2 linked regions of the Alligator mississippiensis genome follow. The protein of the gene in region 1 purifies or fractionates together with the protein of each later gene. This does not show direct contact. Links are inferred from orthologs where the notes say so. Each region holds a gene or a part of one and is shown in the gene's direction. Other genes may lie near its edges.

What was found.
Region 2: the proteins of SNU13 (region 1) and FBL purify together in Homo sapiens (affinity purification with mass spectrometry; 5 studies listed by BioGRID and IntAct, with this or other methods). This does not show direct contact. The link is inferred for Alligator mississippiensis from reciprocal best matches to the Homo sapiens genes SNU13 and FBL.

What each region holds. Positions count from the first base shown.
Region 1 is NC_081827.1:97,064,445-97,071,746, forward strand, and holds the start of SNU13 (NHP2-like protein 1), read left to right. Parts: upstream 1-4,288; 5' UTR 4,289-4,438; coding exon 4,439-4,441; intron 4,442-6,052; coding exon 6,053-6,173; intron 6,174-7,302. Other genes in the region: MEI1 (meiosis inhibitor protein 1), read right to left, coding at 571-696.
Region 2 is NC_081838.1:29,164,494-29,172,503, reverse strand, and holds the start of FBL (rRNA 2'-O-methyltransferase fibrillarin), read left to right. Parts: upstream 1-4,998; 5' UTR 4,999-5,014; coding exon 5,015-5,096; intron 5,097-5,568; coding exon 5,569-5,703; intron 5,704-6,030; coding exon 6,031-6,171; intron 6,172-6,310; coding exon 6,311-6,405; intron 6,406-6,780; coding exon 6,781-6,951; intron 6,952-7,052; coding exon 7,053-7,185; intron 7,186-7,880; coding exon 7,881-7,993; intron 7,994-8,010.

The sequences.
Region 1 (7,302 bases):
TTAAAAACAAAACCGAACCAACCTCAGGTTCACTGCAGGGATGGACAGGCAGGGCTCACCCCAGGGCTGAGGGGGTGGGTGCAGGCACCCCTTAATTTTGGAACCAATGTTATTGGCTATGGGGCTGATAATGCCAGAGGCTAGTGCACTAGTGCTCCCAGTTGGGGGCTCAACTCCTGGGTAACTCCCATTGCACCCATGCCTGCCCAGGTAGCATCAGGGGCTGGGCTGCGAGGGCCAAGGACTGGGCTGTCACATGGGCAGTGAGGGGCAAGGCTGAGGGGATAGGTGTGGAGAGACTGCTGAGGAGCCTGCTGGGATGCGGGGGAGTAGAACTGCTGCCCCATCCCCTTGGGATCAAGTGAGCCAGGCCCAGGGGAGCCCCGGCTGTACAGCTCTGGTCCATGGCCCTGCAAGGTGTAGATCTCTCAAGCCCTGGGCCTGACTTCAACCCAAGGCCATCTCTCTACAGCATTCCTCTCTGCTCCAGGCGGGGGAGGGCACGACTAGGGCGTCTCCACAGAGCGGGGGGAGGGGGAGGAAGACACCACGAGCCCCCTCGCTCCGCACCGAGGAGCCGCCGTCGCCCAGGGCCTCGATGATACAGGCCAGGCACAGAGGCGGCGGCAGCTGCAGCAGCCAGCGCGGGTCATGGCGCGGGTGCAGCCGCTCGCAGACTAGCAGCGAAGCCTCCATGGCGCCGCACAGAGATCGGCCAAAGAAGCACCACACCAATTTGGCGGGAAAACCCTACGCATGCGTAGCTTGGTGGCGGGGAGGAGTAACTCCGCCGGGAGGGCCGAACACCTTGCGCATGCGCGGGGGGGGGGGTGGCGTGAAGTGAAGTGATCTGAGTGTTTTAGGTTCACCTTGGGCGGGCGGGAGAGTGTGTGTCAGACGGCTCTGGCGTAGACGTCCTGGTCGGTCTGTCTGTGGCACTCGCACCTGAGCCCACCACCCCAGCAGCCAGGACTAGGACCCCAAAGCACAAGGGCAGGGTGTAAAGGGCATTGGCCCATGCAGTGAAGCAGGCATCTACCCTGCAGCTCCCACAGAGAAGCAATAAGGCTCCTTCAGTAGAAGACAGGGCAGAGGAGGGAGATCTGACAGGGAAATCCAGGCGGGGGCAGAAAAGCTTCAGAGAGAGTGAGGGAAAAGAAGTAAAAGTTCCAGCAGAGCCAAGGGAAGGGAATGGGGAGGGGGCAAGGAGAAGAGAAACAGGTCCAGATGGTATTAGCTGAGGAAGTGAAAAGCCCAGAGCAGGAAATCGGTGGGAGAGGCAGAGAGAGTGTGGTGGAAAAGAAAGGGTGTGAAGATGAGAGAGGAGCTGAGAAAGCAGAGCAGGGAGACAGATGGAAAGAGACACGAAGGACTCAAAATAGTGGGTGGAAGAGGGGAAGTAATGGAGAGAGGAAGCCTGAAGAGCAGAATAACGAAGGGGGAGATAGAAACAGGAGGGCAAAAAGAACAAAACCCAAACCCTGACATGGTGTTTGCTGGCATTCTTTCAACGTAGCCTGTGTTCTATGGGTGACTCGAGCTAGAAACTGTTACATGAATTTTCAAAGCCCAGCCAACCATTTCACTCTTGGAGTAGGTAGAAATAAAGAATCCTTTGCTTAGTGCATCAGTACACTTAAGCCAGCCCTGCATTTGGTGGTAACTTGGCTACATCTACTAGTTAATCTCCTGGTGTCAGTGATTCTGTGCCCAGTGATCCAAAAGGAAGGCTCACAATACTATGTTTCTCATCAATCAGGACAGCCTAGAAATTGACTGCCCAGTGTTAAATGGCCTACAGGTTATATGTTTGTTTGGTGTAAGGAAACAAACAATGAGAGATATAACTAAGGAGGTATAACATGTCTTAGTGACTTTCTCTCTCTTCAGTACTTTAACAGATTCCACCACTGTAGCGTCTGAGTATCACACTAGTTAATATATGGATCATCAAAGCCCTCCATGAAATAAGGAGATGGTGTAATCCAGAGGTGGGCAAGATGTGGTCCGCGGGCTGGATGCGGCCCACCTAGCCATTCTATCCAGCCCATGGGGCCCCTAAAAAGTTTAGAAAATGAATATGTATCTGCCCCTGGTTGCCTGTCATATGGCCCTTGATGGCTTGCCAAAACTCAGTAAGCAGCCCTCCACACAAAATAATTGCCCGCCCCTGCAGCGTAATCCCTTTTTTAATAGACGGGCAACTGAAATTTTCTCAAAGCCACAGAGAAAGTTGGTAGCCAAGTTTGGACTTGAATCCAGGTGTCCACAAAGTTGAAGGCTGGTGGCCTAATTACCAGCTCATCCTCTCTCTCCACTTCAGGAATTGTTGCAATGGCCCTACCCACATTTGAGTATACATACTGTTCTGATTTTACGCCATGATTGGACTGTGGAGGTTTTTGCTTTCCGTTGCAGAGTGGAGTGTGGTCCTCTGCCCAGGATCTTTTGAGCATATATTGACATTTCATAGATGCAGGATGTTGGCTGTTGTGGTTTCCCTGCTTTACCCCTGGCAGGTTGAGTTAGGTCTGGGGTCAGGGTCGACAACAGTCTTATATAGAATTTAGATTATAGTTTGTATGGGATAATTTAAATATGGATGATTCTGCCTCAGGCAGGGAGTTGGACTACATGACCTCTGGAGGTCCCTTCCAGCCCTGCTTCTAGATTCTAGGATTTGTTTAATGAGTTAAACTAGTCACCCCTTTCTGGATAGGGGAGACAGAATAGAGGGGTTAAAAATATGTGAAATATCAGGATAAAGGAGGAAAAAGAAGGGGTTGCAACAAAAAGGGCGCCTCTGTGTCTCCTGAAAATACAGCAATAACTCCATTTCTAAATTGTTTTAATATGGAAACTCAGGCAGAAACTGGTAAGTAGGGATCAAGACAAACCATCATATCAACTGATACAGAACACTAGGCCTGATTTACCAATGTACTGTAGCTCTTATTTGACTTCCATGCATGACTGTTTGAAAATCAAGTCTTAGCATGTTTTATATATAAAGGGTCTTTATGTGTGTATGTGCAAGTGCATGTATTATATATACACACACTTAGTCACAGACATGAGGCTATCTCTATATACATAGGCTAAGGCTTGAGATATTTAGACATAAGGATGTGTTCAGTATGAGGGCATATTGTGTCCATTCCCCACAGCCACCCCCTGGACAGCAAGGAATTGCTCTGCACTGTATTCTTCAGGATGCTGTCACTACTGCCCACCTCCCACTTTGGGAAAGGATGCCACAGTCCAAAAGATCTCCTTGTTGGAAAAACAAGGTGAGATCCATCCAAGTTGTACCTTGCATCATTGGCTGTGTGAAGGAGCCTAGCTTTCTGTACCTCTTCTTCTTTGGCAATCCCTCATAGCCAAGGATGACTGTCTTCCATGATTGTCTTATTTGTGTGTCTGAAGATGGCTGATTAAGTTTATTTGGGATCAACAGACTCTAATGCAGCTTGGACATGTGTTTCTGTGTGGGGTGGGTGGCTCTTGATTCTTGATTTGGTCCGCAACACGCTGTTTCTGCCACTACCACATTTCCATCTCATGTTGTTGTCATGAGGTTTCAGAGCCCTGAGATCCCTGCAGCAGACTCTTCCTCCAGTTGCGGAGGTCCTGGGCAATTGTCTCCTATGAGTGGACATAGATGTTGGATTTTTTTAAGATGGCTTTGAAGACATCCCTGAAGTGCTTTCTCTGACCTCCTCTTGAGCCTAAGCCTTGACTGAGCTGAGAGAATAAAACTTGCTTGGGGAGTCTGAAGATAGACATCCAGATGATACAGCCAGCCCAATGAAGCTGATGTTGGATGGTCATCATCACCTCACTACTGGTGGTGTTTGTTTGCATAAGGACACTAACGTTGGTGTCTCTCCTTTCCCACTGGATTCAGAGGATCATCCACAGGCAGCATTGATAGTACTTCAACAACTTTAGATGTCTCCTGTACCTTGCTGTGTGAGGCAGCCTAGCTTTCTGCACTGGAAATCGAGCTCGGCTCTCACACCTCCCACACCTAAATTAAACCCCGGTTTGGCGCAGGGCGGTGAAGGGGCTGTAACTGCCAGGATTCTCTCAGCTGCAAGCAAAGCCGCGTTCTCTCCTCTTCTGTACCAGGCTCCGCTCGCGGGCAGGGAGCACCACCCACGACATTTCCAGGTGCTCAGAGGGAGGGGCTGGTATGGGGTTTTTTTTCTAATTAAAAAAAAAAAGAGAGAGCGCGCGCACGCGCACACGCTGCCTCTTTAATCCGAGATTGCCTCTACCGCCCGCCTCTCCCGGATTCTGCTCAGCCTCATTTCCGGCTGCGACTTGTCTCGCCTACGTCTGGGAGCGGCTGAACTTGTTTCTTCGCCTCCGTGAAGCTTTCGGGCCGAGAGGATCCATCCTGGCGGGAGCGGCTTGTGGGGCTCCGATTGCAGCCATGGTGAGCGGGAGCGGGCGGACACGTGCGGGCGTGGAACGTTGAGACACCGCGTTCCAGCGGCCGAACGCGAGCGCCGGGCCCCGCTGCCCCGCCAGGCCGCCGGCCCGAGGGGGGCGGGAAGGGAGGAGCGGATCCACGCAGCTCCGGGCCGGTGGGATCGGAGCTGGGCCGGCGGGCGGACACGAGGCAGGCCGCCACGTGCGTGGGTAAACAGGCCCCTAAAGCCCCACGTGGCTCCTCTGTCCCTCTGCCTCCGCATCGCGCTTCCCGCGTGTCTGTCGCGCGCATACTGAGCCTTTCTCCTCTTGTAGCTTGATCTCCCCGACCCCTAAGCGCTCTCTGTTCTGGTGCCTGCATGCACTAGCCTCACTCTCCTGCTAAGGGGGATTCTTGTTGGGTTTCCTCCCGGTGTAGGAGAGGTGAGGGGGAGTAACTACTGGTTTACTAGCTAAGCCAGTAGTTCAAAATTTTTCAACTCGGTGCAGCTGGACAGACTGGAGGCAGCCCTTGGAAAATGCTAGCTCTTGGCTTTCACTCTGAACTTTGACTCCAGGAGCATAACAGCAGTCTTTCTTTTGCAAAGAGCTGGGTTGTTGGTTGTAATCCTGTTGGTCTACGGACATAGACAAGGTTCTTTGGGTAAATCTGAAGGGACCTTGCATTTGAAATCTCTGAGCTTATGTGATGAATTGTGTTTGCAGACTTAATAGACTGTGTAGCAAGCACCCCATGGCATCCTTGAAAGGTTCACTGGTCACCCCAGGGTGCTGTGGCACCTTGGTTGAGAATTGCTGCCCAAGAGCCTTTCTCGTGTCTGTTGGCATAGAGCAGAGGTGGCCAAGCCCATGGATCAAAGTCATGTGCAGCTCCTGAAGAAACTCTTTAATGATAAATGGCTACTTGAGCTGGAACACTGTGCCAAGGTCAGGGGCTTGGGAGCACACACATTCTGAAAGTTTTGTCAAGATTTTTGGTGTATGGCTAAAAGAGTTGGGAAGTTTGGCCACCCCTGGTGTGCAGGAATACAGGGCTAGCAGTACATGGAGGCTCTATTCCCTGGGCTGGTACTGACTAGGAATGATAACAGTGCAAGAAGCTGACAACTTTTTTTTCCTGCTTCCTTGCTTATGAAAGAGAGCATGCAAGGAAACTTGTAGCAACATCTGTCTTGTATTGTGCTTTTGGGGTATAGCTCTCAGGGCCTAGGCCTGACATGGCCAAGATCATCTGGTGGCAGGAGACCAGGACCTCTGATGCCCTAGTCCAGTGCTTCATAAATTGGGTTGTTTAACTTGCATACCTATCACTGAAGTACATCTGGGGTGGAACTGGTATGCAATATGGGACAATATTGTATAGGGGGAAATTTTGATCAAGGATCCAAGGGAAAACCATTTTTACAGGTAAATGGTGGGATCCCCAGTGTCAGTGCCAAACACAGGACCACAGTAGTGTGTTTCATCCAGAGGAGCCATGAACAAACATCCTAAAAAAAAAAAAGGCTCACTTGATCCTGGCAGGACTTGAACCTCTGGTTCTGAGTTCAGATATTAGTATTCCAAGCAAAGCTTCCCTCTGTCCCCTTCTGTAACTTTGATTTCCTTTCTCTAGAGTGAGGCAGAAGTGAACCCCAAAGCTTACCCTCTGGCTGATGCACAGCTCACCAAGACACTGCTGGATCTTGTACAGCAGTCTTGCAACTACAAACAGCTACGCAAAGGTGCCAATGAAGGTAAAGTCTGACCTTTAGGAAACTTACTAGCACTGCTAACATTAACAAAAAAAGGGTTTACTAAACTAGGAGTTGTGGGTGGTGGTTGTCTTCTACCTATGGATTTTGCTTTAGATGTTTGGTAATTCCCCCTACTCCTGGATCTCAATATATATCTTCTCCATTTGTGCAATGAGAAGGTTTCCCGTTTGATTAAATGGTCTAATGGAAATAAAACTAACCTGAGAGAAATTGTATGGCTTCTCTGTGCTCCTCTGATAGCTGGAGAAAAGTGTATTCTTGGTATATAGTAGAATCCAGATACCTGGCAGGGTAAGATTTCTAAACCCCTTGTGAAGATGAGGGCTTGCAAGCTATCTAGGAGCATGTATAGCTGCAGTATACACTACGCACAGCTGTTGAAGTGCTCCATCAGCTTGCTACAGCTTTTACATTGCAGAATGCTGTTTCTCTAATTAGTTGCATGCAACTGCAGTGATGCTCTGCTGAATAGAGGAACAGCACATTTTCATGTAAAAGGTATAGCAAACAATTCATGGCTCACTCTTAGTTTAGCAACTAGCTGCTAGCTAAGTGAGTTACAAACCACATTACAGCATCAGATGAAGTATGTTGTTGCCTAGGAAAATTCACCCCTGTCTGAACCAGTTGGTCTCTTCAGGCAGTGATTCTTGACCCCTTGAGAGACCCCTTAGAAAATGCCAGTTCCTCATTTTCACTCTTATTTTTCTGTAATAAAAAACAAGAAAACAGAGTAGTTCTTTTGCTGCAAAGAAATCAGACCACAGTCAGTCAGATTGTTTTTGACACTATAGATTGCTGTTTGAAATCTCTGGGTTTATCTTGTGAATTATGTTTAGGTGTTTGCATGCCTGCTGATATCTTGCAGCAGCCTTAAAAGAATCTCACAGAACCCCCCTAGTGCCACAGCAGCTTGGTTGAGAATCACTGCCTTGAGGTGCCACACTGCCTTATGCCTACCACTTCCCCAGACCACCCAAAAAAGAATGATCTGGCTTCTAAATATGGGGGGGGTTGACTGTAGAAGGTGACCAGCTGGCTTATCAACATTGCATTCAAAGACTTTTCTATATTGTCCATTGCACCAATGCATAAAAAATAATAGTGC
Region 2 (8,010 bases), on another chromosome or scaffold:
CATGGAAAATTCCCCAGAGACATTGTCAGGATGAAGACAGGAGGCAAACAATTCATGATAGATCTCAGCTGGAGGAGAGAAATTTCACAACCGCTGTCCTCTGCTCCTGCCCCCTCCTTAGGGATGAGAGCTTTTCTTCATGTTACCCATGACAAGTTGAATTATGCAATACTTTTCACCCAGACTTCCAAGGCTCAGAGCCAAGGAAGTCATTTTTTACAATCTCAGGACATTCCAAGGAACCCATCAGCTCTGAAAGTTGGCTAGGCTCTTGACCTGAAAGCACTGCAGGAGGAGAAGTGATCAGAAACACATTATCTCCATAGTTCATGAACCCCAAACAATGGCAGTTGCCAGGGGAATTCAACAATGCATTTCCCATTAAATCAAGCTAGGTCCTTGCCATGGAATTCCCCCCACGGCTGTAATGCCCTATCTCTACCAAGCCATAGGGGTGGGAATATGCAAGCCCGGTATAATTCAGAAGGGTGTGAGGTTGCTGTGGGGGCAGGAACTACCTGAATCTTACCCAAGGACAACACTTTTGCGATAATACATCAACAAACAATGCTTTTCTTGGACCACGTGTCAAGGGAAGGCAGCTAGTACTGACAGAGATTTCATCATGGGAGTTGTTGATCTTCAGCAGACTTCTCCAGCACCTTCAGCCCACCTGGAGAAGGCTTCTATTAAATATCCAGTCCCTTGGATATGGGCCCGGCTGTATCGACTGGCATCAAAGTTTCTATCACTTGGGGCTCTGACTAGGTGCTCTGTAGATCTCGAGCAACTTGTAGATCTCAACCACTGGCCTAGCTGGGATTGGGGCCTGACCAGGCCCTGTACAGATCCCTGGGCCAGAACCAGCCCCATGTGCAGCTGGGATCAGAGCCCACCATGCTGGACTCTGAACAAATGTGTAGTGAGGGAAGATCCTGGAGGATCCCACTAGAACTAGGGGTCCTGGCTCTTTGTCCAGGGTTAGCTGTCATAGCATCATAGAACATGAGGGTTGGAAGGGACCTCAGGAGGTCACATCGAGTCCAACCCCCTGCTTTAAGCAGGACCAGCCCCAACTAGATCATCCCAGCCAAGGCTTGTCTAGCTGGGTCTTCAAAACCTCCAAGGATAGAAACTCCACCACCTCTCTGGGTAACCTGTTCCAGTGCTTCACCACCCTCCTAGTGAGAACATTCTTCCTAATATCTAACCTCAACTTCCCTCTCTGCAACTGGAGCCCATTGATCCTCATTCTGTCGTCTGCCCCCACTGAGAACAGTCCAACTCCATCCTCTTTACAACCCCCTTCAGGGAGTTGAAGGCTGCTGTCAAATCCCCACTCAGTCTTCTCTTCTCTAGACTAAATAAGCTCAGTTCCCTCAGCCTCTCCTCATAAATCATGTCTCCCAGCCCCCTCACCGTTCTTGTTGCTCTCCACTGGACTCTCTCCAATGTGTCCACATCCTTTCTGTAGTGGGGGACCCAAAATTAGACACGGGACTGCAGATGTGGCCTCACCAGTGCTGAATATATTAAGGGGAGAATCATTTCCATCAATCTACTGGCCACACTCCTACTAATGCAGCCCGGGAGGCCATTAGCTTTCTGTCCTAACTCTTTGCCTCTCTCTCTATTTTCTGTCCCTTCTCTGTGGTGTGAGACAGTAGCACCATCCAGTCCTTTTGTCTCAGAAGGTTTCTTTTCCCTCCCTCCTCTGCCAGCGTTGTGGGGTCCTGAACCACCCCTCACTCCTTTCTGCTGTGGTCAGTGGCTCACTACATTCCTGCTTGCAGATAGCCTGATCCCAGGAGCAGTTCAGTCTGAATGCCAGCCACCAGCAAGTGAGAGAAGACAGCTGGTGACCAAGGGAGTTGAGACATGCCAGCCAACAATCACACCCAATGCTATGAAGGAAAGAACAACCGAGCCATGACTCAGTTTCCCAGGTCTCTACTCCACTGCCCAGGAGATTGTTCTCTCACAGAAAAGCATGTGAATACAGAAATTTGAATCTGAACTGTATCAAACTCCTCCACACCAAAGTGGAGTGGATGGGGTGGGAGTCTGGAACGTGCCCTAAGGACGGATTCTGAAGGGCCTGAGGCCTCACCACCTGGCAGCAAGTGTGTCCATGTATTCTCTGCTTTATGGAGCTGCTCTTGCTCACATTGCCAGATTGATAATATCCCAATAAAGCGGTGCACGGTTCAGAGGAACTTGCTTTGGATTTTCTTGTACTTCTCCGGATACACTCAAAGCCCCGAGAGTTATCCTGGTTGCGAAACTGGGAGTTCATTGAGTATTCTGCAACAGAAGAATCATTTTAGGATTTTCTTCATAGTCTAGAAATGAGTGAAAGTGAAGAGCTTTCTTTTTCCAAGGGGGCCCTGGAGTCTAACGAGAGGTACCTTTCAAACGAGGAAGCCTGGAGGTAACAGAGAAGGGCCTAGAGTCTAAAGAAAGTTGGGAACCATTGAACGAGTGCATCGACCGGGTCAGTGTTTCATAGATTCATAGATGTTAGGGTTGGAAGGGACCTCAGTAGGTCATCAAGTCCAGCCCCCTGCCCTGGGCAGGAAAGAGCGCTGGGGTCAGACGACCCCAACTAGGTGCATGTCCAGTCTCCTCTTGAAGATAGGGGAGAGCACCACCTCCCTTGGAAGCCCATTCCAGATTCTGGCAACCCTAACTGTGAAGAAGTTCTTTCTAATGTCCAGCCTAAATCTGCTCTCAGATTTCAACTGAACTCTCTTCAGTCAGTCGGAGGGCACTGCTCTTTGAGGATCCCGAACTCTTCCCTGGAATAGTGATCTCATGCTGTTGGATAATTAATTAAAGGGGAATCAGGCTTAGGTTATTATTTTGTATGCTCAAGCCTGGGGGGGGGTCTCAACGGATGATCTGGAAGGTCCTTTGGGGAATGTAGCAATGATGTTTGGATCACAGAAGCCAACAGCTGGACTTTCTCCCTGGCTATATTATGCAACTCTTGGCCTGGCGCTCTGCTGCATATTGGACCAATCATTGCAAGTCTTTGGCTGGGCTCCACTTTAGCAGGAGCTATTCAAAGAGCTGCCCAGACTCGGTAGTGGTGTAGAAGTATGGACACATGACATCTCATCCCTTAACCCTACCCTGCCTTGCTTATGTGGTGGGAGGAAACTCCCTAAAGTTTGTTATTTAGCTGTAATAGGTATCAGACAACGCGGGTAAAGAATTGACAGCTATTTATTTGTTCGAGCAAAGATCATAAAGCCAGCAAAAGGCAAAATGGCCCCCCCTAAAGGGTGGGGCAATTTTTTATACTTTTTATAACAAGGCAAGACTACAGGGTTAATAAAAGCAATACTTACTTGGGTGGTGCTTCACAAATCTTTATAACAGCATATTTTTATTAAGCTGAACTAGCATTTTTTAAAAGCTAAAAGTTAAGTAACAGTAACATTATGATACGTTAGCAAGAATTTGCAGTGGTAGATGCTTTTTAAGGACACGATCACTGTATTTAGAACAATGACTTTTTTGTCTTATCTTGTTCCTTGCTGTAGCTGATTTTACAGCACAGACACAGATTCACTTGCTGCATTTTACTCAGAAAATGCTTAACACAGTTAAAATGATTACTTGACACAAGTAAAGGCTTAGCTATCATTCTGCCTTGTGGTTAGCGGCATTGCTAGGCCACAGGTCATGCCTTATATTCAGCTGCAAAGCTAATACTTCTTAATAATCTAAATTATTGCTAACCTAACAGTATGCTATCAGAAAACTATTCTCTTTCAGGGGAGTAACAAACATGCTCACTACACGGTAGACAAATGCCATCAACTCCTACGTTGTGGTAACTGCCTTGAATCCAACCAGAAAGCAGAGCAGCCGATGGGGTAGGGAGCACAGGGCAGGGAGCAGAAAGCAGAGCAGTGGAAGGGGCAGGGGGCGTAGGGCAGGGAACAGAAAGTAGAGCAGCGCGTGGAGCAGGGAGCGCAGGGCAGGGAGTGGAAAGCAGAGCAGTGGATGGGGCAGGGAGCACAGGGCAGGAAGCACACAGCAGAGCAGCTGATGGGGAAGGGAGAACAGGGCATGGAGCGGAAAACGGAGCAGTGGAAGGGGTAGGGAGCACAGGGTGGGGAGCAGAAAGCAGAGTGGACAGACCCGACACCATGTGATGTCACAGAGAGGGCTGACATCACATGCGAACGGCACAATGTCACAGCTGATATGGGAATCTGACATTGGGCTGAGAGCTGAGTACATGGGACATAGCAGAGACCCGATGCCGTGTGACATCCCAGAACTGATGTCATATGGCAACGCAGAGAGAGCTGATATCCCAAGAAATATTTGATGTCACGTGATACCCAACAGCTGATGGCATAGGACATAACAGATCTGACGCCACCTGACACCGCGGAGAAAATGGCCTTCCCCAAGAGACCTTTCTTTCATCCTATGACATCACAAGGAGAGGTGACATCACAAGAGACACCTGACATCGTGGGACATCCCAGAGAGCTGACACCAGAGAAGTGATGTCACAGGACACTGCAGAGAAAGCTGCCTCTTCTGACAGAACTTTTGTCCTATGACATCACAGAGAGAGCTGACATCACAAGAAACATCAGCTATCATGTGACATCCCAGAGAGCTGACCTCACGGATCTGACGTCCTTGCATGACACTGCCTTCCCTCAGCCACCTTTCACCCTGTGACATCACAGGAGACACCTGACCTCCCCCAGAGAGCTGACATCAGACAGCACAGATCTAAAGTTGAGAAAAACTTTCATCCTGTGACGTCACGGGGAAGGCTAACCTCACAGTCTAGCACCACGTCACACCCCAGAGCGGTCCAAAGACAAATTACTTGACGTCACAGGGAGAGAGAGAGACAAATGTGACGCCACAAAAATCGCCCCCCCTCCCCCGCCCCGCAAGCACGTCCTCTGGTCTTTCCGCTGACGTCACCGCGGGCCGCGAAGCCAACTTCCGGTGTGGGCGCTCCGGGCGCCCGCGCATGCGCATCGCGCCCCGCGCCAGCCAGCACCGAATCCAGCGTGGTCCGGCCCCGGGGAGCGCACGTGGGAGCATGAGGCCCGGTGAGCGCGGGGCGGGGGGGGCGGGTCCTTGCAGCTGCTGCCGGGGGGGGAGCCCCCCCACGCGATCCCGGGACGCCTGCCTTCTCAGCCTTGCGGGGGGGGACTGTAGCTGGGCAGCCCCCCCAAGCTCGGAGCCCCCTATTCACTGGGGGCAGGACTCCGGGGTTCCGGGGGGGGGGCTTGGATCAGGTTGGGGTGGGCAGCAGACTGAGGGTGTGTGGGGGGATAACACCCCCCAGCTGAGCCCCTCCCCCCCAGTAAGGATAGTTGATGGGGCTTGGAGGTGGTGGGGTACTGGGGGGGTCCTTATATGTCTGGGAAGTCAAAGGGGCTGGGGGCATGTGGGGCAGGTGACATTGGGGGGACCTAGGAGTTGAGGGGGGAGCATTGGGGAGGGGGGCTTGCGTGAGGGATGGACTTGGTGGGGGGGAGGGGGGCATGTCTGACCTCCCCCCCTCCTTTCCACCCACAGGTTTCAGCCCCCGTGGGGGACGCGGCGGGTTCGGGGACCGTGGAGGGGGACGCGGCGGGTTCGGGGACCGTGGAGGGGGACGCGGCGGGTTCGGGGACCGTGGAGGGGGACGCGGTGGCTTCCGGGGAGGCAGAGGTGAGTTACATTCTCCCCCATCCACTCCTGGTTCGTGCTGGGAGAATCTGGTCAGCTGTCCCATCAAGCTTTGGGGCAGAGGGCCAGGCTCAGGGGTTGCCCTGCTGTGGGACTCTGCTGCCCCCTCTCGTTTTCATCTTAGCCAGGCCCCACCCCACACTTCCTGTCCCAAACGGCTCCCCCTGCCCCTCCACTTCCTGTCCCAAAAGGCTGGGACCCCATTTACTATCCTTACTATCGCAAAAGACTCCCCCGTCCACACTCCCCTACTTGCTGCAGGGTCCTGCCCACACTGGACCACATCCTTCTCCCCCTTTTCTTTCCCAGGTGGCAGTTTTGGCCGAGGAGGTGTTGGCGGCCGAGGAAGAGGAGGGCCTGGCCGGGGCGGCCGTGGTGGGGGGCGGGGTGGGGGCCGGGGGGGCTTCAGAGGGGGCAAGAAGGTGACAGTGGAGCCCCACAGGCACGAAGGTACTGGAGTCTGGGGCAGGGGCTGGCGCTGGGGGGTAGGGACACCTTGGCGGGGCTTGGGTTGGAGCCTGGGGTGGGTGGGACCATGGGGGGGTGCTATTCTGGCTCTGACCCCCTCCCCATTCGTAATCCCTTCTAGGGGTCTTCATTTGCCGGGGCAAGGAAGATGCACTCGTGACCAAGAACCTGGTGCCGGGCGAGTCAGTGTATGGGGAGAAGAGGATTGCGGTGGAGGTACGCAGAGCCTGGGGGGGAAGGGGATCAAAGGCGGGTGGAGGTGTCTGGATGGGAGTGTCAAGAGGGATGTGGTGGGGATGGGGATCAGGATGGGGGCATTGGGGTAGGGGGAGGTTTGAATGGTGGTGTCGAGGGGGCTGGTTCTGGGAGGGGGGCCCCCAGTGGTTATGTGGGGGGCAGAAAGGCTAGGCTACTGGGTCCCAGAGGGCACTGGGCACACCACTTCCAGGGGCCGATCCAGGAGGCATCTTGGTACCCAGGAGTCCAAGCTGGGGTGAAAGGGCCCTCAGAAGGCCCCAGGGGTTGGGGAAAGGTTTGAGCAGACTCCCTCCCCCCCAGCCCTGATTTGTTCCCTCTCCCACCGCTGGGCAGGATGGCGAGGCCAAGGTGGAGTACCGGGCCTGGAACCCCTTCCGCTCCAAGCTGGCAGCCGCCATCCTGGGGGGCATCGACCAGATCCACATCAAGCCGGGCGTCCGTGTGCTGTACCTGGGCGCTGCCTCAGGCACCACCGTCTCCCATGTCTCGGACATTGTGGGCCCCGTAAGTACTGGGACCCCCTACCCTGGATGGGGGGGGGGGGGGAGGCGAGGGGGCAAAAGGGATTACCCCCCCCTCCAGCTTAACCCCATGCGCCCCCCCAGGAAGGCCTGGTCTACGCTGTGGAGTTCTCCCACCGCTCCGGCCGTGACCTCATCAACGTGGCCAAGAAACGCACCAACATCATCCCCGTCATAGAGGATGCCCGGCACCCCCACAAATACCGCATGCTGATTGGTGAGTCCCCCCTAGGTCCCCTCCCCCCCTTGACTCCTCCTACCTCCCCCTGCCAGTCGTTCTCCCCTGGGGTCCGGCTGCACTCAGGGGGGCCCTGCCATTGGCTTTCCCCGGGGCAGAGGGGTGTCCTGGGAGCCCCCAGACTCCAGAGTCCTCTGTTGCTGTAGTGAAAGTCTAGCTGGTCTTCGGGTCTTTGTACTGGGGATCCTTGAGACCCCCTTCCCCCACCTCCCCCTGGACACTTGCGTTCTCTGCAGCCACTGCTGAAGCCTGACCAGGCACGGGGTCTTTGTATTGGGGCTCCCTGGGAGCCCCCAGACTCCTGGATTCTCTCCTGCTGCTAAAGTTCAGTCGGGCATGGCATCTGCCAGTCGGGGCTCCTAAGACCCCCCTGGATGCCTGGATTCTCTGCAGTCGCTGTTGAGGCCTGGCCAGGCTTGGGGTCGGCCTGTCAGGGCTCCTCTGGGGGCTCCAAATTCCTGGGTTTTTCCTGCTGTTACTGAGGCTCGTCTGTGCACAGGGTCTTCCTACCCGTGCTGTTCAGGGACCTGCCTCTCCCCTGACAACTGGGTTTCCTTTCCCAGTGCTGATATCACAAGACAGGTGGAGTTGGGGGGGGGTGTAGTTGATTTGCTGGGGGATCACAGCGTCCCCTGATCTCTGGGTCATGACTCACAACCATGCCCCCCCTCCAGGCATGGTGGATGTGATCTTTGCCGATGTGGCGCAGCCTGACCAGTCCCGTATTGTCGCCCTCAACGCGCACAACTTCCTGAAGAACGGCGGCCACTTTGTTATCTCCATCAAGGTAATGAGCATGCCTTC